7 linked regions of the Macaca mulatta genome follow. The protein of the gene in region 6 interacts with the protein of the main gene of each other region in a pairwise test. Links are inferred from orthologs where the notes say so. Each region holds a gene or a part of one and is shown on either strand. Other genes may lie near its edges.

Evidence for each region.
Region 1: the proteins of LZTS2 (region 6) and MORF4L1 interact in binary tests that used the Homo sapiens proteins (3 or more experiments, as listed by UniProt). The two-hybrid records come from large-scale screens. The link is inferred for Macaca mulatta from reciprocal best matches to the Homo sapiens genes LZTS2 and MORF4L1.
Region 2: the proteins of LZTS2 (region 6) and TNIP3 interact in binary tests that used the Homo sapiens proteins (3 or more experiments, as listed by UniProt). The two-hybrid records come from large-scale screens. The link is inferred for Macaca mulatta from reciprocal best matches to the Homo sapiens genes LZTS2 and TNIP3.
Region 3: the proteins of LZTS2 (region 6) and MAB21L3 interact in binary tests that used the Homo sapiens proteins (3 or more experiments, as listed by UniProt). The two-hybrid records come from large-scale screens. The link is inferred for Macaca mulatta from reciprocal best matches to the Homo sapiens genes LZTS2 and MAB21L3.
Region 4: the proteins of LZTS2 (region 6) and STAC interact in binary tests that used the Homo sapiens proteins (3 or more experiments, as listed by UniProt). The two-hybrid records come from large-scale screens. The link is inferred for Macaca mulatta from reciprocal best matches to the Homo sapiens genes LZTS2 and STAC.
Region 5: the proteins of LZTS2 (region 6) and RAD51D interact in binary tests that used the Homo sapiens proteins (3 or more experiments, as listed by UniProt). The two-hybrid records come from large-scale screens. The link is inferred for Macaca mulatta from reciprocal best matches to the Homo sapiens genes LZTS2 and RAD51D.
Region 7: the proteins of LZTS2 (region 6) and POLDIP3 interact in a two-hybrid assay, tested with the Homo sapiens proteins (2 studies listed by BioGRID). The two-hybrid records come from large-scale screens. The link is inferred for Macaca mulatta from reciprocal best matches to the Homo sapiens genes LZTS2 and POLDIP3.

The regions. Positions count from the first base shown.
Region 1 is NC_133412.1:57,080,683-57,084,897, reverse strand, and holds the start of MORF4L1 (mortality factor 4-like protein 1), read right to left. Parts: upstream 2,801-4,215; 5' UTR 2,721-2,800; coding exon 2,681-2,720; exon of another isoform or gene 2,611-2,680; intron 2,529-2,610; exon of another isoform or gene 2,336-2,528; coding exon of another isoform or gene 2,044-2,335; intron 1-2,043. UniProt on the Homo sapiens protein: Component of the NuA4 histone acetyltransferase (HAT) complex which is involved in transcriptional activation of select genes principally by acetylation of nucleosomal histones H4 and H2A.
Region 2 is NC_133410.1:129,984,752-129,988,251, forward strand, and holds part of TNIP3 (TNFAIP3-interacting protein 3), read right to left. Parts: intron 1,283-3,500; coding exon 1,154-1,282; intron 1-1,153. UniProt on the Homo sapiens protein: Binds to zinc finger protein TNFAIP3 and inhibits NF-kappa-B activation induced by tumor necrosis factor, Toll-like receptor 4 (TLR4), interleukin-1 and 12-O-tetradecanoylphorbol-13-acetate.
Region 3 is NC_133406.1:124,151,810-124,155,309, forward strand, and holds part of MAB21L3 (protein mab-21-like 3), read right to left. Parts: intron 1,327-3,500; coding exon 1,035-1,326; intron 1-1,034.
Region 4 is NC_133407.1:12,066,823-12,070,322, forward strand, and holds part of STAC (SH3 and cysteine-rich domain-containing protein), read right to left. Parts: intron 1,721-3,500; coding exon 1,639-1,720; intron 582-1,638; coding exon 466-581; intron 1-465. UniProt on the Homo sapiens protein: Promotes expression of the ion channel CACNA1H at the cell membrane, and thereby contributes to the regulation of channel activity.
Region 5 is NC_133421.1:44,622,762-44,624,952, forward strand, and holds part of RAD51D (DNA repair protein RAD51 homolog 4), read right to left. Parts: intron 2,066-2,191; coding exon 1,975-2,065; intron 1,846-1,974; coding exon 1,775-1,845; intron 1-1,774. UniProt on the Homo sapiens protein: Involved in the homologous recombination repair (HRR) pathway of double-stranded DNA breaks arising during DNA replication or induced by DNA-damaging agents. Bind to single-stranded DNA (ssDNA) and has DNA-dependent ATPase activity.
Region 6 is NC_133414.1:113,067,078-113,070,577, reverse strand, and holds part of LZTS2 (leucine zipper putative tumor suppressor 2), read right to left. Parts: coding exon 2,868-3,500; intron 1,556-2,867; coding exon 1,298-1,555; intron 544-1,297; coding exon 1-543. UniProt on the Homo sapiens protein: Negative regulator of katanin-mediated microtubule severing and release from the centrosome. Required for central spindle formation and the completion of cytokinesis.
Region 7 is NC_133415.1:8,869,453-8,873,457, reverse strand, and holds the start of POLDIP3 (polymerase delta-interacting protein 3), read right to left. Parts: upstream 2,801-4,005; coding exon 2,742-2,800; intron 1-2,741. UniProt on the Homo sapiens protein: Is involved in regulation of translation. Is preferentially associated with CBC-bound spliced mRNA-protein complexes during the pioneer round of mRNA translation. Contributes to enhanced translational efficiency of spliced over nonspliced mRNAs.

The sequences.
Region 1 (4,215 bases), on a different chromosome or scaffold from region 6:
GAGGCAGGAGAATGGCATAAACCCGGGAGGCGGAGCTTGCAGTGAGCTGAGATCCGGCCACTGCACTCCAGCCTGGGCGACAGAGCGAGACTCCGTCTCAAAAAAAAAAAAAAAAAGGCACAAGGAATTCTCTGCTGCTATTCCCCTCTTAACTAGCAACCCTCTAGAACTAAAGCGCTTCCTTAAACAGCCAACCTTAGGCTGTTCCTACAGAAGCGATTAACTTTTTGTGCCTTGACAGTCTGATACAGCCTACGAGCCGAATGATTTCATAAATACATAAAACACACAGTAGTACAAAGGCAACCGACTGTATCGAAACACCAAAACATTTTAAATGTCACGTTCTATGACATTACAGGACAAAGACTTGGCTAGTCATCCAGCAACTACCCTAATTTTGAAGAAACGAGAATGATTGATAACTGAAAACATCTTCCACAACTGTAATGCTGAGATCTGAAAATACTAATGCGGCGTTTTTTTTCGGGGTTTGGGGGGAGGAATTACACTGTTAACTGAAAACTAAACTTGGGTACACAGAAAAAACACATCTTCCTCATTCAATTTCACGGACCCTCTGAATGCACTAAGAATATCTGCTCTAAAACGTCTAGTAAAATAATGAATCCATAGGAGGTAGAGTCACAGATTCTCAAGGTGGGAGAAGGGTATTAAAAGTCACACGGCTGAGCGCGATAGCTCACGCCCGTAATCCTCCCACTTTGGGAGGCCAAGGCGGGTGGATCGCTTGAGCCCAAGACTTCAAGACCAGCCTGGGCATCATGAAACTCCGTCCCTACCAAAAATACAAAAAAAAAAAAAAAAAAAAAAAAAAACCCACAAAGAAAGAAAAAACCCCTAAAAACAAAACAGAACAAAACTCAGCCGGGCATGACGGCGCGCGTCAGTGATCCGAGCTACTTGGGAGGCTCGCTTTAGCCCGGGGGGCAGAGGTGAGCCGAGTACCATAACTGCCCTCCAGCCTAGGTGACAGAGTGAGACATTGTCTCAAAAATATAAACAGGCCGGGCGCGGTGGCTCAAGCCTGTAATCCCAGCACTTTGGGAGGCCGAGACGGGTGGATCACGAGGTCAGGAGATCGAGACCATCCTGGCTAACATGGTGAAACCCCGTCTCTACTAAAAATACAAAAAACTAGCCGGGCGAGGTGGCGGGCGCCTGTAGTCCCAGCTACTTGGGAGGCTGAGGCAGGAGAATGGCGTAAACCCGGGAGGCGGAGCTTGCAGTGAGCTGAGATCTGGCCACTGCACTCCAGCCAGGGCGACAGAGCGAGACTCCGTCTCAAAAAAAAAAAAAAAAAAAAAAAAAAAAATATATATATATATATATATATAAAAAAACAAAAAAGTCACTCGTTAACAAAATACCCCTAAAACTCCCTTAAATATCCCATAAGATACGCAGTACTACGGTTTAAGATTTATGTCTCTAAAAGGAATTTTAATGCAAGTCTAAAAATCCCTAGAACAAAAATAGTACGCATGGAAACACCGTATTTACGGTAACTAGCATAAATTTCCATAGCAATGAAAACGAATATTAGAGTGTTCCTCCTTTTACAGGATTTTACTTCCTTTTTAGCTATTAGACCTCCACCTTATTATACATAAATTGAAGCGTTGTGAAAATTTAAAGAGCTGCCTTCCACTGGCAGTCTAACCCTAGCCAAACCTCATGCCAATCGAAAACCAATTAATAAAAATAAACTCAACTTTCAAGTCACTGTTAAACACTGCAACTAATCAAACAATTACTGCATTTAAAAAATGACGTCGAGACAATGGGACTTACAAAGGCAAACGGCGTTAACACTGCATTCAGATCATTTTTATTTACTTTTTACGAGCAACTGCAAAGCGAGAGCGCACTAACGTTACCATAGGATCTTGGCACTGCGCCTAAGAGCAGAATGAGGCCTCCAGGCAACACAAAGCGGAGGAAAACGCTCATCCCACTGATCCTTTTTTTTTTTTTCTGTCCCCACCCACCACTCTGAGGTAAGCGAAGGGTCCCGGCAACCTTGCGGTCTTCGTGGAAGGGGGCGCTGCATCTGCCCTGAAGCTGCGCCTGCATACGGGGCAGAGACGCCAGCGGCCATGATGAAGCCGCCATGTTGCAACGGCCATTTTACAACGCAGTTCTCCCGCCCCGTGGCGCCAAACCCACCCCCATCTGCAGCTCCGAGTCTCCACCGAACGCGACCACCCCGGGGCTCCAGGGAGCACCTAACCGCCGGTCGTGGCTGCCCAAGCGGCCGGGCGCGCTGCAGGACAGCCAGAAACCACCGCCGCCCCTCCCCCCGCCGCCACATCACTTCCCCTAACCGCCGCCATGGCGCCTTGGTCGCCTCCCTACAATAGGCTGCTCTCTCCGCGCCCTCTTCCTCAGAACAATAACAAACACTTGACGAGGGTGTGCCACGCGCCAAACGCTCCCTCTCCCACTCTAACGCCTGCGTAGCACTCTCGCTTCACAAAGCGCTCACAATGACGCATCGGAATTGCCATCCGCAATGCGCTTTCCCCGCACAAAGCACTATCCGCCGCCTTCTCAGGGTGCACCCCGAGCCACCCCCGGCCCTCAAACCTCAACCACCTCGAGCCCGCCTCCATCTCCTGCGCCGTTAGGTGCCTTTTTCCCAAAGGCGCACACTCACCCTCCTGGAATTTAGGCTTCGGGTCCTGCTTCGGCGCCATTTATAAGTGATTCGCCGCCTCCTCCTTCTCCCACCACCCCCGACTACCGCCCCCTACTCTCTACCCCACCCAACTCCGCGTCAGACGCGCCGTCAGGCACTGCCAGCTCTACATCCTGGGCCGGATTTGCCAGCGCCCGCAGACCTCACAGCAGCGCGACCCGCGCAGCCGCTGCTCCAGCCAATGACAACCCGCCGCGCCCGCGCCCCTGCGCCCGCGCCGCCCCGGGGCACGCCGGGACTGGTAGTTTCTAGTTGGTGGAGGCGCAGCTGGGTGGGGGAGGGGCCGGCTACCCTACCCCACTCCTCCCCACCCCCCCGCCACTCCCCATCCCCCGGGCTGCTGCGGGTTGGTAAAGCGGGGAATTGATTACGTGGGAGGTTAAAGCAGAGCGGGCAATGGGGGAGAGTCGGGGCGGTGAACCACCAGCGATGAAAAAATGGGAAAAACCCAGTTGCGACGTCCTTTGGGCAAATAAGCCCCCATTGATGTTGAAGTAGCCGGAGAGAATAGGGCTGCCTCGAAAACCTATATTCAATAGCATTCCGCTAGTTTTTGCATAGAAAAGCTTTAGGATCAGCAATGTGGCCACAAGAGGATGGGAAGTGGGGTCCGCTTCTGGAAGCTTCGTTGTTTAGCAAGCCCACTGCCTAGTCTATTTGGTGGGATTGATAGCCATTTGTTGGCTCCCAGGTCTACCTCCTCTTCTCCAGTCCCGGCCTTGCGGAAATGAGGAAGATGACGTGGGAAACACTAGTCAGGCTTTGGCTTTTTGAGATAATGGAGCTCTGCTATCCGCAAAAGGCTAGTGTGAATATGCCAACCTCTGCATTCCGTACCTGCCCTGTTTGTACTTTTTTGTCATCTAATTTTTTGAGCCATGATTGAATGTACACACACTAAACAAACGGATTTCTTCAATATTATATATTTTTCTTTTCTTTTCTTTCTTTTTTTTTTTTTTTTTTTTTTGGAGATGGAGTCTCGCTCTGTCGCCCAGGCTGGAGTGCAGTGGCCTGATCTCGGCTCACTGCAGCCTTCACCTCCCAGGTTCAAGCGATTCTCCTGCCTCAGCCTCCGGAGTAGCTGGGATTACAGGCACGTGCCACCACGCCCAGCTAATTTTTGTATTTTTAGTAGATACCGGGTTTCACCATGTTGTCAGGCTGATCTGGAACTCCTGACGTCGTGATCCGCCCGGCTTGGCCTCGGAAAGTGCTGGGATTACAGGAGCAAGCCACCGTGCCCAGCCTGCCTCCATGGCTTTTCTAAGCCCTCCCCTGCCCGGGTTCCACACCCTACCATTTCCGGGCCCCTCTCCATTTTTCTGACTTCCATTTCTCCTTCAGTCTTTTTAACACAACCCCTTCTTCGACAACAGAAACCCACAAAAATCTTCGTTATTCCAGTTGAATATACACCATCTTGTCACGGCTGCTACTTGCAAGCTTGTCCAACCTGCCTTATTTTCCTGTTGTTTTGTTTTGTTTTGTTT
Region 2 (3,500 bases), on a different chromosome or scaffold from region 6:
CAGTCTATAAATGAGACAATGTAAGAAAACTTGTAATATGGTATCAAAAATGGGAGGATTTTAAATATAATCTCAATTGTTTATAGTTCCTCTAATGCATTTGTGCAACATTTTCTGGAAGAGAACAAAAGGGAAAAGATAGATTTTGCCCTGCATTGTATGTTTGAGCATGGTTTTTCTCTCTTAGAGGATAAAGTGTATTATGAAGTTTATCCTCACTTTCCAATTTTCTCCTGAAGAATAACTTGTCCCACAAACAGATCTACTACAGGATCACATGTGCAAAGCATCCTATCAGCTATGCAGGCACATACTTAATAATTTGAGGATCTTTAAATGACATCTCTGAACACTAGTTAACTAGAACCATGGGCATGTGGCCCAAAATACAGGGGTTGAGCATCTGTTTCAAGTCCAATCACCTACTCTTGTTTCAGAAGACAATTTCTGTTCTTTTATCGGGAAATATCTAGTTGAGAGATGCGTATCTCAACTCAACCATGTGCTATAGCATTCCTATGTTCCACATATGGGTTGGCTCTTGGAAAAGTCAACAGTATAGGATTATTTTTCCTGAACTATTTAGCGACCCATTCCTCCAAAATATGAACCAACTAGTCCATAAAACAACATACACACACCACTGCATGCACATGCGCACACCTTTCCTCTTCCTGACTTTAAAGTAGGTTTTAGGCTTGCACTTGAGAGAGCTACCATCTCAGCCTTGGATTCAGCATTTAGCATGCTTCCTTAGAGTGTGTTTCACACCCAACTCCATAGTGATCATTTTAAAGAGCAGTTTGTTTCCTGAGGAAGCTTTTGTGGTTGACCAAGAGATACGTTATTGTTCGCAAACACCCACTTGCTTTATGTGGTTCTTCAAACTAAGAAACGTTCTTACTGTCTCTATAATTCCTCCTCATTTCTCTTTTTCATGATGAATCTTTGTAGGGACAAAAATTCCCTAAAACCTCCTTAGCCAAGTATAGCTGAAAGCTGCAGCTAGGAGTGATTTATAAAATCACAGCTAATTTCTTGTGCCTGAAAGCTGGGACCCACACTGCAGCCTAGATTTTGTTGTGACTCTCGGTAAGAATGTTTTATGCAGGGACTTCTCATTTTAATATCCCATGCTTGACCTGCCTGATACCTTATTAAGGCGTTTTATTTCACATTCATAATGTTCCTTCTCCTCGTTCACAAGAGCATTTTTTTCCTTTAAAAGCTTATTCTCTTCCTTCAATTCATGTAATTCTTCATTTAGGCGTTCCTTTTCCTTCTGAAGTAAAGACCAAGAAAAGAAAAGAAAAATCAGTACAAGTCGAACGAGATGATATTGTAGGAATTCTGATATATCGGCCGTGGCAGGCAGATTGAGGGGTCACCCTTCTGAAATACAATAAAAACAGGACCTGCAAGACTTTAACTTAACGTCCCACTTGAGCGATATTCTTTGGATGAATGCTAGAATTAGGATTGAAGGAATCTTTCTTTTACCAGAATTTACTGAAGTATCTTAGAAATTTTGCGACCCCAGGGGAAAAAAAAAATCAAATTTCCCAATTCTGGTTTGTTTTGTTTTGTTTTTGTTTTTGTTTTTGTTTTTGTTTTTGTTTTTTAAGATGAATTCTCACATTGTCGCCTGGGCTGGAGTGCAATGGTGAGATCTCGGCTCACTGCAACCTCCGCCTCCCGGGTTCAAGTGATTCTCCTGCCTCAGCTTCCCTAGTAGCTGGGATTACATGTGTCTGCCACCAGGCCCAGCTAGTTTTTTATATTTTTTAGTAGAGACGGGGTTTCACTATGTTGGCCAGGCTGGTCTCAAACTCCCGACCTCGTGATCTGCCCGTCTCAGCTTCCCAAAGTCCTGGATTCCCAATTCTTACTTTCAATTGTCAAATAAATGGGTCTGCAGGATAAGCAAGTCCCTATGTACTGTTACTAGGTGATGGATAAGCGATTAAGAAACATAGCTGAAATGGCAGAAAGAAAAGGCTTTCAGCTATTTCTTACTGTCATTGTAAGAAAACAATCCGAAATGTCTCAAAGCTCATTCCTGCATCATTCTGTATTAGAAAGAGGGAAAAGAGAATAATCTTTAGGCCAATAAGACCCTTCATTACAGATCTTATTTAGAGCACTCTATTGTTGTGATTATTATTTTTAAAAGGGAGAAATCAACTAGTCCAACTGCCACCACTTCTCCATGTTTTAGATTATCATCCAGAAGTGCAGTGTTTTAAACAACTGAAGGTTAGCTGCTTAAACATCAACAGGCTCTGGATTCAGACAATATCTCCCACCTCTTAATTTTGTATAACAGATAGCAAACATTTTGTGAAGTAAATTGGATTCTTAGTGAGATTGAGATTTTAACCCAGTAAAATAAATATTGCAGAAAATAGGTAACTCAACATGCAGAAATAACTAATATATGTGTTAAAGTGTATTATTTGAGCAACTCATATTTCCCAATATGATTACAAAATTTAAGAAATCCGCTTTAGGTAATTCATTTTCTTTAAAAGGGAAAATATTTCTACTTGCTTTTATTTAAATAGAATGAACATATACACTTAGAAAATAAGCCAATTATTTTCTAAGTTAGCATAATTTAAGAGAAAATTATTCCAATGAGAAAATGGTCCCAACTGCATTGAGGGAAAAATTACTCAGATTCCTGGCTAGGATGTAATTGGAAAAGGAAATGACTGCTACATGGCAGAAAGGGAGTGTTGCTAAACTCTGCTTTCCTGACTCACTGTGACAAAGACATCCTCAGCAAGGTAGGAAAACCTGGACTGGCATTGTCTGTGCTAATTTTAGACATTGCCTTAAGATTTCTACGTTTTAAAATATTGCCAATGCCTCACGATATCAGTAATAAGACATTCCCTCAGAGTCTTTACACTTTGTTTTTTCTTACTATACCTAAAATAACAAGGGACCATTAGAGTTTAAGGTTTTCTCCCTTTTTCTACAATATTCATGAAGTCCTATAATGGAAAGTAAAACCAGGACAAAAAGAGTGTTTTTTAGGAAAAGCTGTCATCTCAACACCATCCAGTTCTCAGCAAGGGACTGATGGAGCTTTAGAATCTGGAGGTTGGGTTCCAGTCCCTTTTTATCAATGTGGGCAATTCAATTTGTTTACATCTCAGCTTTCTCATCTTTAATATAGCAAAAATAATTATTTTGCTGACAGGTGGGCCGAGAATGTTAAATGAGATAATGAGGATGAGGCCTTTTAAAAATGTCATAAATTTATGGTTACAGAAGTAAAACCTCATATGTAAATCTCTCTGTAAGCTTGAAAAGCTACTGCACAAATACAAAGTACTGCCATATTATTATTATGAACACTACTAATAAAAATAATAAATACGAATAAAAGCAAAAGAAAAAAAATAATTTTCTCTTAGGCTGAAATGCCCTAGAGAGTCAGCAAATCTATGGATCGGTTTTCTTCTTCCTGGAAGGGCCTGGGGGATGACTGT
Region 3 (3,500 bases), on a different chromosome or scaffold from region 6:
TATTTATAAATCTATGAATATATTTGTAGAATTTAATTTGTAGAAATATATTTCTAGAACTGGAATTGTTGAATTGTCAAGTGAGCACATTATGAAAATAAAATATAGACAACTTTCTCTTTAAAAAGGAGACACCAATTTCCACTTCTAATAACAACAGGAAAATACCCATTTCACCATGCCCACTCGACACTAAGCATGATCAAACTTTTCATTTCTTTTAACTTGTTAGGTATTTTAATGTACCCAACATGAGGTATATTCTAATATATGTTGAAATATACATTAGATGGAATGTCTTTTCTTATTTTTGCAAGCCATTTGTACTCTTTTTCTGTGATTCCTTTTTTTTTTTTTTTGATAATTATTTCTATTGGTCAGCTCATCTTTTTTCTTATTGGTTTATAAATTAAGAAAATTTATATTTTCCTAATTATATAATTAAGAAAATTGGCCATTTCTTTCCAGTTAGAAATTCACCTTTTCACTTTGTGTGAACAAAAAAGGTGTTTGTGTGTGTGTGTGTGTGTGGGCATATGCTGTACAGTAGCTTAAGACTTTGTCAAATTTAGTCAGTTCTTTTGGCTCCTGGATTTTCTGTTTTGGTTCAAGTTAGTGGTTTCCAAATGTGGAATCTCAGCACACTGTGGTACTGCAGTCACATGGAGGTGCTGCAGTAAAAATGTACTAATAAAGAAGACCTGGGGTTTGTGAATAATTTGCTTTTAAAACAAATATGCTTAAGTTTTTAAGCCTGGTTAAGGTGCATAATCCACAGCATTTTATATCTATGCCAGCACAGTAACTTTCTCAAAGCCACAACACTATTTTGTTAGAATGAATTCCAACCTTCTGTGCATCAACGGCAGGGGAAAAAAGCTGATTCATCTTATTAAGATTAAATAAATGTGAAGAGCACATGATTATCTTCTCAAATGTAGGCTGTGAGCTGCAGGTAACACCCAAACAGAGGTTTTGTAGAGCGAAAGGGGAATGTCAGCAATTACCCTTGCACTTGTTCCTGATCAGCTCACCTGAGAGGTGACAGGTTCTAATTGCATTTTCCACCAGCTTCCGGAACACCAGGAGGACCTTAGCGGGCACAATGTCTCCATCGATGTTCACGTCTGTCTCATGCCACTGCCACAGGCTCTTCATAAACTGTTCCACCTCCAGCCACTGCTGCAGACCCTCAGGGTCCCGCAACGGGCAGGGCAGCCTGGTGCCCTGCAGGGTGTAGTACCGCCAGCGCTGCTCCCTGGCCTCCCTGTACCCAGCCAGGCCTTTTATTGGGACTGTGACAAGGAACTGACTGGGGGCCAAAACCTAGGGTCAGGAAAGGATTGAAAACAAGCATGAATTCACAGATTCGGGAGGTAACGGAAGTCCTGGGAGCCGACCTGTCTCGCCAGGCAGCTCTCTTCACCACTCCACCCTCAGTAGTGTGACCTGATACACAGAGACATAGACCTGGGTGTTACAAGTGGATTACCTCTTTGTTCTGCTACTGAATCACTGTAAATACTTTGGGCAAGTAAATTAGCTCGCTGAGTTTATTATCTTATGACTATACAAGTAAAGACAGTGAGCTAGACCAGGAACTCCAGAGGAGGCCTAAAGTTTGAGAAAGAAGAATGAGTATGCATTGAGTTCCCTGCAGTCGCGACACTGCAATTCTAATGCATTTGACCATTTCAACTTCACAATCACACAGTAAGGTGAGCTTTGTTGCCATTTTCCAGATGAGGAATCCAAGATGCAGAGGGGCTTGGAGATCTCCCCAGGGACACACAGCCAGTAAGTAGAAGAGTCAGAATTCGAGTTTAGGTCTTTGGACAGCTTGTTCAGTTATTATTTCTCTACCCTGGGCTGGCACTCAGCCAACAATGAATGACATGGAATGGTGAATGTTTTGACACAAATAAAAGGTGGGAAGTAACAGAAAGGGAGTTTAAAAGATTTTGTAAAATGTCTCCTATTTTTGGGTTGGGGGGGCCTGTACTGATGACCCATGGTCAGTGTTCATGACTAACCCTTCCAAAATCAAAGGGAAAATGAAAGCTTATTTGTTGAGACAATGTGAGCTGTTGAGATAATTCTAAGTTTAAAGAAAAAAAGCAAACAATCAGAATCCGCCTAATCCCTTTCTCCAGGAACCAGTGAAGCAATGACTGGGGGAAAGCAGGCAGACCAGCAGCCAAGAGATAGAACAAGTGGGTAAACAGAGCAGCCAAAGGAGCCTGAACTCTGACCATGTCCCACTTCACACACACCTTCAGCTGTGAGTCAGCTGCCTCCTCCTCACGGAAAGCTCTGACCATGGAATTTGGTTAACTCTTGCCCAGGGCCAGTCATTGACCCATTGAGGGGTGAATGTCCTAATCAGCCCCAGCTGGATCTGCCTAACTCTAAGAAAACAATAGTTTGATGTTTTAGATGATGTATCCACATGACTTCTGGTACCCACAGAAAGGTAGCTGGATGTAAAAACAGGAAAAAAACATCCAAAGTCCCTGGAATTTCCGATCTGTACATTATTTCAATTTACTTTCATGTGAATTCAAAAGCAGAACTATCATGTTGTTAGTCATGTAAGTGGTGCTTAGTAAATATTTGTTGAGCAGCCTGGGCAATATGACAAAATCCATCTCTACAAAATAAAAAAATAAAAATAAAATTAGCCAGGCATGGTGGTATTTGCACCTATAGTCCCAGCTGCTTAGGTGACTGAGGTGGGAAATCACTTAAGCCTGGGAGGTTGAGGCTGCTGTAAGCCATGATCTCACCACTGCACTCCAGCCTGGGTGACAGAATGAGACTCTATCTTTAAAAAACAAACAAAAAAAACTTGTTGAATTTGATCTAAGTTAAAAGCAATTTTATATGCTATGCTGTAGCTATTTTTGAAACTTAATATGTAAGACATGACATATATAAATGTAAGATATATTTTAAGCTATGAATTCTAAGTAGGACCACGGAAGGAAATTTCCTTGGGTGTAGTGCTAAGAAAAGTAATGTAATATCTCTATTTCCAGTCACTGTGACCAAGTTAGATTGGCCTGGGTGGGAGAGTTGGGCAAGTGATGCTCTAGCATTCCAGGATTCAATCTAGTTTTATATTTTTCACCCTGGGATTAATTTCCTACAATCTGACTCTGTTTCAAAATCCACAAATCCCAGCATCTCTTGGGTGGTTCTTGCATCCACCAAACTTGAGATGTAATGGGCCAGCAATGGTCTTTTGTTCAGGTACTAATTCTTTTGCTCATTCATTTATTCATTCATTCCACATATGTTAAGTGTCTACCATGTGCCACACACCATGCTGGGTGCTAGGAGCAAAACAATCGGTAAACATGGTCCTTACAATCAAGGGATGTGCAGTCTGTTGTGAGAAATGGGCCATGAGTACATACAAATTTAACACAAAGTGAAAGAGGTATGTGGCATAATAAAAATCAAGATAAAGAATGGTGGAGATTCAGAATGATTCAGAA
Region 4 (3,500 bases), on a different chromosome or scaffold from region 6:
GTTTTGTGTGCAATCAAGAGGCGTGCCCTCTCTTACAGAGAAAAGACAAAAGATGTGAGAAATAGCTGTGTCTTTGAATTGGAATGTAGCTAAAAGGAAAACTGGAAATAGCCAGGACTTCCAAGTTCCTGACCATTGTTTGAGCCAAACATTTATGTGTGTTGACTCATCTGTTATCTAATATTGGTGGGAAGGTAAAGGAGAGGGGGTCCACGGGAAGGGTCAAGAAACATGAGGCCAAGGGGATGGTCTTTGGGCAGGAGAGTAAAATAATCCCTGGGTGTTGACAACAGGAAGTTAATCCTTAATGGCTCAAAACACTTTGGGTTTCTCTTTGGCAGGTGCCTGACTCCCTGCAGACCTGTGCTCATGAGGCAGTTAGGTGGAATCCCCCATACTGGAGTCCTGAGGCCCACTCTGCCCAGGACCGCCATAGACAAACTGAGGAAGGAAGAGGATAATTACAGAGGTTCTGTGAGGTGAGTCAGAGCCACTGCCGGAGCTGCCCTTCTTTGTCCTCTGGGCCAGGGAGGTGCCGAAGCGGAGGGTCTCGTAGACAGGGTCCACCTTATTGCCACAGGCTGCAACAGAAGAGAAAGTTCATCTGAGGAAGCTCATCTGAGAGGACCCAGCCAACTGCTTACCACATCTCCTGGGTGAACAGCACCTGAGAAGCAGGCTCTGTGCAGAGGACCTCAGCCTCTGTGTAGACGGGGCTTTCACGGCCAAGTGTTCCTCACAGATGCGCCCCCATGCAGCATGCTCCCGTTTGCAGGTCCTGCCATGTACCAACTAGTACTCTGCTCCCAAATTCTTCCTGATTGGATTTCCTCTTTCATTACTCCTCTCTAATTTCCAGGTTCTTACAGGGACCAGCTTTATTTCCTCTACTGGGAGGCTGTGCTCACCAAGGTACAAAGCCTTGAGACACAAAGTTTGCAGTAGGAGGCAACTGTTTTAGAAATAACTTGTCACTACTGAGCCTCATTAATTTCTAATTGAAAGCTTTCTAATTTACAAATTTCTAGTTTAAAACTTGCCCCCCTGAAAAAACAAAAATAGATGTCGAGATTTTCAGAGAGAAAAAAAATAATAGAAGTAAACTGAAAAATATTGTTAGAGAAGAAATCCAAGCCAAAGCTATCAATAAATATAGGGTATCTTTTGATCTTCATTAGAGAATAATGTATTCACTGAGCTCCTACTAAGCATTGGTGTATAACCTATATTTATTTTTTATAGCAATTATGAAACGCAGCAATTGCTGTTCTCATTTTGTGGGGGTTGACAGGTCAAGTAACTTGTTCAAAGACACGCAGTTGTCAATAGGGAGCTGGGCTTTGAATCTGGTCTGGGGGATGCCATGCTCTGTGTTCTTTCCACTTCACCATGTTGCTGACGGTGGGATTACTAAGCCTTTGGGACTTAGGTGTTTTCTGAGCTTCATCAGGGAAAGGATGAAAATTCCTGGAGAATTTGGTCCACTTTATGTTTCCCTTCCAGCAGAACACACAGTCATACCCCAAACAGCCACCAAACAAGTACACAGATACCCCACGGGTTTTGCAGCCCTGGGAGGAAGCCATTACTAACTTTGCTGCTTCAAACTCAACTCAACCCATCAATGTCCCGACTCACCAATGGGCATAACTTCTTTAATGCAGCCAAACTGTTCATGAATGAGCAAGGGGGAGCTGTAGTAACGCCGAAACCCCTTTGGCTGGAGAGAGAATGAGGAAGGCAAGGGGTTAATGTCAAGGCAGATGGAGAAAATCATACAAGAGCTCCCTAAATAAAACCAATTGGTTTCTCCAGGAGCACCCTCCTGTCTCCCATTAACATGCTGATTTATCCTATAATTCCACAATTTAACCCCAGCAGGGACACAGAGGCAGGGAGGAATAGTGGCAACAAGCAAGTTACATTCTATCCAGAAAACAAGGTCCTAGCCCTGACCTCCCCAGTCCTGCCTGTCCTCCTTCTGCAGGGCACTGCAGCCTCCTTTGTATCCCAGATCCTCATTGCCTCCTGGATTACAAGCGGACTGCCACATATTATTTCACCACAGTTGGTTATTGTGGTTTGTTAAAATAATATAAATAAAAGAAAGGCCTGGGCGTGGGTAAGTAGACCTCAGAGGGAGGCCTAAAAGCTCTTGTATATCTGAAGAGCTTTACCCAGAATCATTTGCTCTGTGTTCTGGATTCTGTTCTCTCTTTTTCCGACCTCTCCTTCATGGTCTGTCTTGGCTTATGGGAATCACCACTGGAGAAGGAGAAGGGGAAGCAGGGGAGGCAGAAGTTTGAGAAAAGAGACATTGCGAATCAGAGTAAATAGATAAACTAAGAACCTGGACTCACTATACGCCACCACTGGATGGGAACTTGGTGGCCCAGTCCCTGCTAGAATTCCAGAATCCTCTGTAATGTTCCTGGAAAGTGGTGTCCCTTGTCAGTACACTGTCACTGATGGTAGAGGGTGAAGGAGCATTCACTAACCTTAGAGGCAAGACATGATCTTTTATCGCTAAGACTTAGTATCCACTGATGTTAGGCCTTTCCCCAGGAGCCTCAAAGGACAATAGAGTTACTCTTCTAAACTTTAGGCCTAAAATTTTTTGAAGACAGCTGTTGATGTCCTGTCTAATTATTCTCTAGGGTAGACATTCTTGGTACTTTTTACAATCCTTTGGCCATCCTAGTTTCAAATACCCTCAAATTTGTGTTCTGCTCTGGATTGCTTTTTGAAAAAAAATTTTTGAGATAGGTTCTAGCTCTGTCACTCAAGCTAGAGTGTAGTTGTGCAATCTGGCTTACTGAAACCTCTGCCTTCCGGGCTCAAGTGATCCTCTAATCTCAGCCTCCTGAGTAACTGAAACTACAGGCACACACCAACACACCCAGCTAATTTTTAAAATTTTTTTTTTTTTTTTGAGACAGAGTTTCGCTCTGTCGCCCAAGCTAGAGTGCAGTGGCACGATCTTGGCTCACTGCAACCTCCACCTCCTGGGTTCATGCCATTCTCCTGCCTCAGCCTCCTGAGTAGCTGGGACTACAGGTGCCCACCACCACATCCCGCTATTTTTTTTTTTTTTTGTATTTTCAGTAGAGACGGGGTTTCACCATGTTAGCCAGGATGGTCTCGATCTCCTGACCTCGTGATCCACCCACCTTGGCCTCCCAAAGCGCTGGGATTACAGGTGTGAGCCACCGCACCCGGCCTAATTTTTAAATTTTTGTAGAGACGGGGGTCTCACCATGTTGCCCAGGCTGGTCTCGAACTCCTGGGCTTAAGCGATCGACCCACCTTGGTATCCCAAGTGCTGGGATTATAGGCGTGAGCCATTGTGCCAGACTTGAATTGCTTCTTAATCAGTATGTGGCACCAGGACTGAAGCCCATCCTCCTGAGATGGTATGATCAGCCATCTCAAGGGCCATTCAATCTCCCTTGGTTTGGCCAACATGATTCTGTTAAATTGGTGCTGATATTTATTACTCT
Region 5 (2,191 bases), on a different chromosome or scaffold from region 6:
AAGTTACAAAGCCTAATGGCAGGTCTGGAACTAGAACCTGGGCCTCCTGACTTGTGCCCTGCTCTTTCCACTAAATCTCGATGCCTCAGGTTCGACCCAAACCAGAAGGCAATGGGGCACATGTCGCCATGTTGTCCAGGCTGGTCTCAAACTCTTGAGCTCATGCAGTCCACCAGCCTCAGCCTCCCAAAGTGCTAGGATTACAAGCGTGGGCCACCACGCCCGGCCACTCAGTCTTTAAAAGGAAGGAAATTCTGACACATGCTACCAAGTGGATGAACCTTCAGGATATTATGCTAAGTGAAATACGCCAGTCACAAAAAGTAAATACCATATGATTCCATGTATATGAGGTTCCTAGAGTAGTCAAAAAGCATAGATACAGAAAGTAGACTGGTGGTTGTCAGGGGCTGGGAAAGGGAGAAATGAGTTATTTTTAATGGGTACAGAGTTTCAGTTTTATAAGGTGAAGAGTTATAGAGATGGATGGTAGCGATGGTTGTATAACGTCATGAATGTATTTAACACCACCGAACTGTATACCTTAAAATAGTTAAGGTAGTAAATTTTATGTTATATGTATTTTACCACAATAAGAGAAGTTGGAAAAAAATATATAGCTGCTAAAAATTACATTTGTAAAAAATATATTTTAAAACATAGGAAATGGACTCAGATGGTATTTTTTGTGTTGTTGTTTTGGTTTGTTTTTGAGATGAGGTTTTGCTCTGTTGCCCAGGCTGGAGTGCAGTGGCATTATCACAGCTCACTGCAGCCTCGACCTCCCAGGCTCAAGCAATTTTCCTGCCACCGAGGCCACCTAGTTTTTCTATTTTTTGTAGAGGTGGGGTTTTTCCATGTTGCCCAGGCTAGTCTCGAACTCCTGGGCTCAAGTGATCCACCAGCCTTGGCTTCTTAAAGTGCTGGGATTACAGGCATAAACCACTGCACCTGGCCCATTTTTTTTTTTTCTCATGAGGTTAGTTTAGTTAGAAAGCTGGTTAAGAGTGGGCTCACACGTGTAATACCAGCACTTTGGGAGGCTGAGGCGGGTGGATTGCTTGAGCCCGGGAGGTCGAGCTGCAGCGAGCTGTGATTGTGCCCCCGCACTCCAGCTTGGGCAACAGAATAAAACCCTATCTCAAAAAAAAAAAAAAAAAAAAGAAAGTTGACTAAAAGTATAAGTAAATATGTAGAAAAAGTATTGTATGGAGATATGTAAAAATATCAATATGGTTTCTGTGGATATGGAGATTGATGACAAATTTGAATCTTATATTTATTTTTTATCTTTTCTATGAGAAGCATGCAGACTTTAAAAAAACTACCTCATAAGCAGAAAAAGTTACTTCAATAGCAAAAAGATCCATTTATATGAAGTTCTGGAAAAGGCCAAACTATTGGGATGGAAAACAGATCAGTGGTTGCCTGGGCCTGGGGGACCTTTTGGTGGGGTCACAAGACTGGATACAACTATATCCATTAGTCAAACTTCAGACAAGGAGAAAGGTACTCTATGTAAATTATACCTCAATAAACCTTTCTAAAAAGAAAAAATGTAGGAAAACAAAACAAAACAAAACAACAAAAAAACAACAAGACAATTCCTGATTCCCGTAGCTATTTATGGTGCAAAGCTGTAGCTGACCCAGGGAAGCTGGAATATGTCCCTTTCCTAAAGGGCCACTTTGGGGTTCAGAAGCTGACATTTAAGGGAAATAAAGAGCTAGCAATAACTAGAAATCAAGTTCATTGGCCAAGTCTGCTTCCTCACCACCACTGCCATGCCAAGGTCCCGGGCCAGGGTCTTCAGCTCTCGGGCCAGCTGCATCATCAAGGCCAAGCCTGCAGGACGAGGAGAAGCAGAGAGGCAGGGCAGTGGAAAACCAGGGACGGGACTGGCCAGAGACCAGACTCCAGAGCTGGGAGGCGAGGTCACGTTCCACTGGCCCCAGGCTCTGCCACATCACTCACCTTCCCTCTGCTGACCTCCCAGAAGTGGGGAGACCACCGCAGTGACCGAGTCCACCACCACCACCTTCATAGTCCCTGAAGAACCAGTCACCTAAAGGAATGTGGGGGAAGCACTCATGAACCTGTTGGCCTCTAGGACACATTACAGGACAAGCTTGCTTTTCTATCTAAAACTAGTAAGAAATAGCCCCCCTCATCCCAAATACAGCAGGCTGCA
Region 6 (3,500 bases):
CTGGATGTAGTTGTGCTGCAGCTGCTTCTGGTAGCGGATCACCTGCTCCTTCTCTGCCTGCCAGGCCAGCCGCTCCCCTTCAAAGCTGTCCCGCTGCTCCTCACCCCGCCGCCGCTCCCGCTGCAGCTCCACCCGCAATCGCTCCACCTGGGCCCGCAAGCTGCCCCCAACCCCGGCTGCTGCCCGCTGCACTTTGGCCTCATCACTCTCTGCCAGGAGGAATGGGTCAGCGGTGGCAGGTGGCACAGCGGGCTCCCGGAGTCCAGCCGCCTCAGCATCCAACTGCCCAGCTTTCTCCCGCAGCCGCTCGGCTTCCTGGCGGTGTCGCTGCAGCTCCTGGGAACAGGCTTCCAGCTCCAGCTCCCGAGCTCGGGCGGCCTCCTGTAGACCCCGCGCACGGCCCTCACTGACCCGCAGGGTAGCACGGGCCTCCCGCAGTGCCACCCGCAGGGCCACCAGCTCGCTGCCCTTCTGCACCAGCTCTGCCTGAGACTCCTTCAGCTGCTGCTTCAGCAGGGAGATCTCGCCTGATTTCTGGCACACCTGGGGGTGGGAGGCAGTGGGGAAGGATGGTGAGACAGGTTCTCCTGGGGGGACAGGCCCTGTGCATCATGCTGGGCATTCGGGAGGAGAGTCCATCTTTATCCCCATTTTATAGATGGAGACACTGAGGCAAGTCTAGTGACATGTCCAAGGTCATAGAGTGAAGATGTGGCTTAAGTGGAAAGCAGACATAGATTTTTTTGCTTCAAAGTTGGTGTCTTCAAAGCATCACGAGACACTGTGGAAGTACCACCGAGCCCTGGGGACTGGGTGCTGGCAGGTGCTGCAGGAGTGGGGGCAATGGAGGGCAGTACCCAGGTGTCTACTGGAGAGGTACTACAGTGACTTGGTTAAGAGCTCAGATATTGGAGCCAGACTGCCTGGGTTCAGATTTGGCACTCCAGTCTTTCTGGGCCTCAGTTTACTCATCTCTAAAATGGGGAGACTAGTGGTAGCCCCCTCAGTGTTGTTATAAGGATGAAATGATCTGTCCCATGTAACATGCTTAGAAGAGTGCCTCCACACCACAAACACCACATTCTTACTACTGGCTGGAGCGTGGCTTTGTGCCACTAGACAAGGCCAACAAGGAGACCCTCCTCCCAGAAAGGAACAGAGGAGAACTTCATCTCACGGAGGTGAGGAAGGGGAGGACCTCTGGGGGTGGCAGGCTGAGGGAGGGTGCGGCTGGGCCCCTTTTTCCAGGGTTTCTCCCTGTGTGACCCTGCTCCCTGCCCCTCCTGGTCTGGCCCACCTCCCACTTGGTCTCCTCAAGCCTTGGCCCGAGCTCCCGCTGCTCCCGCTCCAAGGTGGCGCAGCGCCGCTCCAGCTGTTCACGCTCCTGCAGCAGCTGTGCAAAGTCATCCTGCAATTGCCGCTTCTCCTGCTGCAGCTGGAACACCTGCAGCTGCAGCAGCTGTTGGGCCCGCTGTGCCCGCTGTGCCTGGGCTGCACAGTCCTCTCGCAGGGCCTCGCGCTCTCGCTGCCAGTGCCGCTGCCGCTCCTCGTATGCCTGCAGGCGAGAAGACAGACCCAGCTCCTGGGCAGTTTTCCCAACTCCCCACTCAGTGTCTGCCTGGCGGCCCACTTCTGAGGGCTCAGGAAGGGTGTATTCCATCAAACAACAATAGTAATTGCAACAATACTAACTGCTTTTATAATGATCATAGAAACAAACACAAGAGCAAGCAGACCGGGCTCGGTGCCTCACGCCTGTAATCCCAGCATCTTGGGAAGCCGAGGTGGGTGGATCACTTAAGCTCCGGAGTTTGAGACCAGCCTAGGCAACACAGCAAAACCTTGCCTCTCCAAAGAACAAAAATTAGCTTGGTGTGGTGGCGTGTGCCTGTAGTTTCAGCTACTTGGGAGGCTGGGGTGGGAGGACTGCTTGAGTCCAGGAGGTTGAGGCTACAAGGAGCCGAAATCGCGCCACTGCACTCTAGCCTGGGTGAGAGAATGAGACCCTGTCTCAAAAAAAAAAAAAAAGCACTTGGCCGGGTGCAGTGGCTCAGGCCTGTAATCCCAGCAGTTTGGGAGGCCGAGGCGGGTGCCTCACTTGAGGCTAGGGGTTCGAAACCAGCTTGGCCAACATGGTGGGAACCCCGTCTCTACTAAAAATTCAAAAAAAAAAAAAAAGCAAGCATTTATGTATAGCATTTCCTAGATACCAGGCATTAGTCTAAGCACTTTACACCTTTTGCCTTATTTAATCCTCATAACAATCCTATGAAGCTAGAAATATCCCTGTTATAGATGAAGAAATAGAGGCTGAATAAAGTTAAGCAACTTGCTCAAGTCCAAAAACTGGTATTTAGCAGTGGGAGGTTTGAATCCATGCACTCTGACTCCTTTCCACCCCACAAGTTTTGTTTTTTGTTTCTTGTTTTGAGATACAGTCTTGCTCTGTTACCCAAGGCTAGAGTGCAATGGCAAAATGTCAGCTCACTGTAACCTCCTCCTCCTGGGCTCAAGTGATCCTCCTACCTCAGCCTCCCAAATAGCTGGGACTACAGGTACATGCCACCACACTCAGCTAATTTATTTTTAGGAGAGATGGGGTTTCCCCATGTTGCCCAGGCTGGTCTCAAACTCCCGAGCTCAAGCAATCCGCCCACCTCGGCCTCCCAAAGTGCTGGGATTACAGATGTGAGCCACCACGTCTGGCTATTCCACAAATTAAACCAGACAACTGGTGGGGAGGGCAGGGGGGTCACAACTACAACTACCCAACCCCTCTTCCCTGCTAAAATGGAAATGCCCCTTTCATTCCCCAGGCCTTGGGATGTCCTGCCATGCCCCTTCCCCATCATTGCCTCTGACCACACCTGGCACATGGTAGCCTCATTCTCGTCCAGACTGTCCCGCAGCTGCTGAAGCTCTGCCTCCCGCTCTCGGAGCTTTCCTTCCAGGACACAGTGCAGCAGGGCCTCGTCGGAAGGAGGTGGAGGCGGGGGTGGTGGTGAGCGCTCCCCACAGGAGCTGCTGTCAGGGGAGGCCCGGGTACCACTGCCCAAAAGCCCGGCAGCCACACGGCCCCCCAGGGAGCCTGTGCTCTTGCTGGAGGAGGACCGGCCACTGTCTGAGTGGGAGGGCCCAGTAGGGACCCCTCGGGCTGGCCCAGGCAGTGCCCCTCGCCCAGAGCCATGGGAAGGCAGGTGCCCGCCTGGGGAGCTGGTGGTTGGCTCGGCACCTCCGGTGCTGTAGGTGGGCAGGCTGGACAGTGAGTTTCGGCCAGAGTCGGATAGCGTCCCTGATGGGCAGCCACTGGCCCAGCCACTAAATGCCAGGGGTTTGTCAGCAGCTGAAGAGGAGGAGGAAGAAGAGGAGGAGGAGGCAGGGCCCCCAAACAGCTGTGTCAGGCTGCCCTGGCTCCCAGACAGCCCGGTGGCCCGAGGACCCATGAAGCTAGGCAGGGACGGAGCCCCTCGAGGTTTGGGCAGCACTGGCTTGAAGGCTGT
Region 7 (4,005 bases), on a different chromosome or scaffold from region 6:
AGGGTTCTACGGAAAGTGGGAGAAGCGGGGATTGGAACCCTGACGGTGACTCCAGAGTCCCAGTGCTCACCTATGCTCCAGGGGCACTGTGTGCTTCTATTCCTTTAAGGAAAGGTTCAAGATAATTACCAGCCTTTGCTGAACACTTGCCACATGGCACAAACTTTAAAACATACCTTCTGGCGGGCCGTGGTGGCTCATGCCTGTAATCCCAGGACTTTGGGAGGCCGAGGGGGGTGGATCACCTGAGGTGAGGAGTTCCAGACCAGCCTGGCCAACATGGTGAAACCCCATCTCTACTTAAAATACAAAAATTAGACAGGTGTGGTGTTAGGCACCTGTAATCCCAGCTACTTGGGAGGCTGAGGCAGCAGAATCGCTTAAACCCGGAAGGCAGAGGTTGCAGTGTGCCAAGGCTGTGCCACTGCACTCCAACCTGGACAATACAGTGAGACTCCATCTCAAAACAAAAACAAAAAAAACCCGGCCGGGTCCAGAGGCTCAAGCCTGTAATCCCAGCACTTTGGGAGGCCGAGACGGTCGGATCACGAGGTCAGGAGATCAGGACCATCCTGGCTAACACCGTGAAACCCCGTCTCTACTAAAAAATACAAAAAATTAGACGGGCGAGGTGGCGGGCGCCTGTAGTCCCAGTTATTGGGGAGGCTGAGGCAGGAGAATGGCGTAAACCCGGGAGGCGGAGCTTGCAGTGAGCTGAGATCCGGCCACTGCACTCCAGCCCAGGCGACAGAGCGAGACTCCGTCTCAAACAAAAAACCAAAAAAACCAAAAAAAACCTTTCTCACATTTAATTCCTTCAACCAGGAATCACCATTACAAATGAGGAAACTGCCTAGTTTAGAAGTCCCCTGGCCAGGGAAACAGAACCCAACTGTTTCACGTGCCAGGTATATCCAACTGCAAGGCCCCTGTTCCTGTGGATCCACACATACCCCTCACCCCATTCCTGCAGCCCCACCTACTGCCCAACACAAAACTCTGCACACACTAAAGCCAAAACCGTACAGATCAAATAGACTACAGTGCGGTCCACCTGTAGTCAGAAACTGGGGGAGTGACCTCAGAGAGAGAAGAACCTGGTGTCAATCATTCTGTCGTTTCCAAAGGAACCTACAAAACCTGGATGGATTTAGAAGTGGCCAGAGGAGCCAGCGCCAACTTCACATCAGACACTAGGCGGAGATGTGAGAAAGCTTTCGCAGTCAGTAGCTGAGGAAACAAATACTAATGCATGCCCGTTATGAACCAGAAGCCCGGTAAGTGCTGGCTGCGAATTACCAGGTGGTGGTGGCAGTTGTAGTTGATACAAGTGTCCAGATGGGGAAGGAGGTGAGGGATACATTTCAGACATCAAGAGAAAAACCTAGCCACAGGCACACGGGTGATATGAATAAACATCCGCTGAATGGCCGGGCCTGTGGCTCACGCCTGTAATCCCAGCACTTTAGGAGGCCGAGGCGGGTAGATCACATGAGGTCAGGAGTTCGAAACCAGCATGACCAACATAGTGAAACCTCCGTCTCTACTAAAAATACAAAAATTAGCCAGGCGTGGTGGTGCACACCTGTAGTCCCAGTTACTCGGGAGGCTGAGGCAGGAGAATCGCTGGAACCGGGGAGGCGGGGGTTGCAGTGAGCAGAGACCGCACCACTGCACTCCAGCCTGGGCGACGGAGCAACACTCCGTCTCAAAAAATAAATAAAAATAAACATCTGCTGAGAAAACATATGTCTGAGAAAACAGTATCTAACATATTTACATCCTGGCTATTTACAAAGACTTAAACTTAATGCGTGTTGGGAAACTATTGGGCAAAGTTCTCACTTCTTCATACAGGTGAACTCAGCTCACAAAGACTTGAAATGACTAATAACATTTAACGGTCATGGGGAAGTTTGGGAGACATGACTGCAAATCACCTCCATGGCTCCTCACCCAGCTCAAGCACTTTCTTCTCCCTAAGGAAATAACCAATCTCCAGCCCAGCCCACTTGTTTTTCAAGCCCATGCAGGAGGCCAACTCAGCCAGCAATTAAATCGCACTCAGCCCCGCCGCTCAGTTCTCCGTGGTCTCGGGCAAGTCACTCTACCACTCCCAGCCTCAAGTTCCCCATCAGTAAAAGTGGAGTAACATGAATTGCTAGCAGACAACAGGACCGTGAAAGATCAAACGAGGCATCGTTTATACGAACAGGCTTAGAAAACTTAAGACGCCGCACAAAGGGAGGCGAGTGTTAACAGAGGCCGCGTGGACGGGGATTTGGGCTTGCGCCTCAGCTTCGGCCGTCGGAGCAAGTCACTTCCCTGCTGCTAAACTTCGGTTGCCTCAACTATAAGATAGGTGGAGACCAAGCAGCCCCGAGATCACGGAGCGGGGCCCAAATGCCAGTCCAGACAGGCCAGGGGGCTGCACCGCCGAGACTCCCGGACCCCGGAACGCGGGGGCCCTAGGGTGCAGCCCCTCAAGTCCACGAGGCGGCACCCTGTCCAGCCGCGGCCCCGTCGGCCTCCCAGGCCCGCCGGAGGGACTGCACCTCGGCCAGTGGGCGGGCGGTCGGGGCCGCTGCGGCGACGGCGGCGGCCCGGCCAATGAGGAGCGCGGCTGCTGTTGGGGGCGGGCGCACCCGGTCCTCCGCGTCGCGCCCGGGCCGCTCCCTCCCCCGCCTCGAGCTCCACTATGCCGCGGACCCGAAACCCCGAAGAAAAGAAAGGTCTCTCACCGTCCTTTCGCCACCGCCCCGCGCTTCCTGATGAGTTCGTCCAGGGAGATGTCCGCCATCTTGCTCCGCCGAGCGAGCCGAAAGCTGCCGAGACACCCCCAGCCCGCGAGCCCGCCCCTTCGGCCGCTACAGAGCGACGAACTACTTCCGACGTCCGCCGACCAACTCTCGCGACAGCCAGCTAAACGCAAGCAAGAACCGGAAGGGGCGGGGACGCTCCCCGTGAGCCTTCGCGGAGCTGGCTGCTCATCTGCATACAGAAGGTCGGCACATTATGAATTATTTATTCTCTCCGAAGAAAAAACATTAAATGAAAAGCAACAAAATAATTTCATTAACGAGTAAGACAAACTTCAATGGAAGTGGATCATTACCTCAACGGTCAACTATGATACTCATCATACGCCAAATGAGAATATGATTCATTACCTAGGAAATAAGCGTTACTGTTTCTTTATGCCTTAAACTTATGAGTAAGGAAAATAACGATTCGGGGTGACGCCCGAATCCTCACTGCTAATGTGAGACGAATTTTTGAGCGGGTAAAGGTCGCCCCTAAGGTGACCCGCCTACTTTGCGGGATGCCTGGGAGTTGCGATCTGCCCGATTCCTTTACATCTGAAAAGTAGACTGGGCGCGGGGTGGCGCAATTTCTGTTTGTTTCCGGTGCACAGTGGGTGCGTTCTCATGCCTGTTTTCTTCTCCTGCCAACGCCGCCAGTTCCTAGGGAGTCTAGTCACCGGCTGAGGACGCTCTGCACTTCGTCGCTGTCTCCAACTGCGCATTGAGTCAGTCCAAGGTTGCCCACAATATTGACGTTGTGACCCACGAAACTGGCAATTTCCATACATGCGGACTTAACCCAGTTCTCCCAAACTTCCCTGTATAACCGCTTCTCTGTGCTTCAGAAAGATATGTCCGTCCCCGGCCTCACACAGCAGCTCAGTTAATGACAGCGTGTCTTCACTTTGCTACCTTATAATGTAGTGCTCTTGGGGGTGAGAGCCGGACGACTGCCTGTCTCGCGTCCCGGTGGCGGCGTGACCGGTGGCGGCGTGACCGTCACGAGCAAAGCACTTCATCTCTCTGCCTCTGTCTTCCTAATATGTATTATGGAGCAAATAATTTATAGGGCGTTGGGAGAGTTAAAGAGACTAATTCATTTAAGTGTTAAATACAGGGAATGACTTTTGCATTGATACAACCCCAGCCTCCAGCATGCGCCAGGCATGAGGTAGGTGTTCGGCACATATTTGTCCAATCA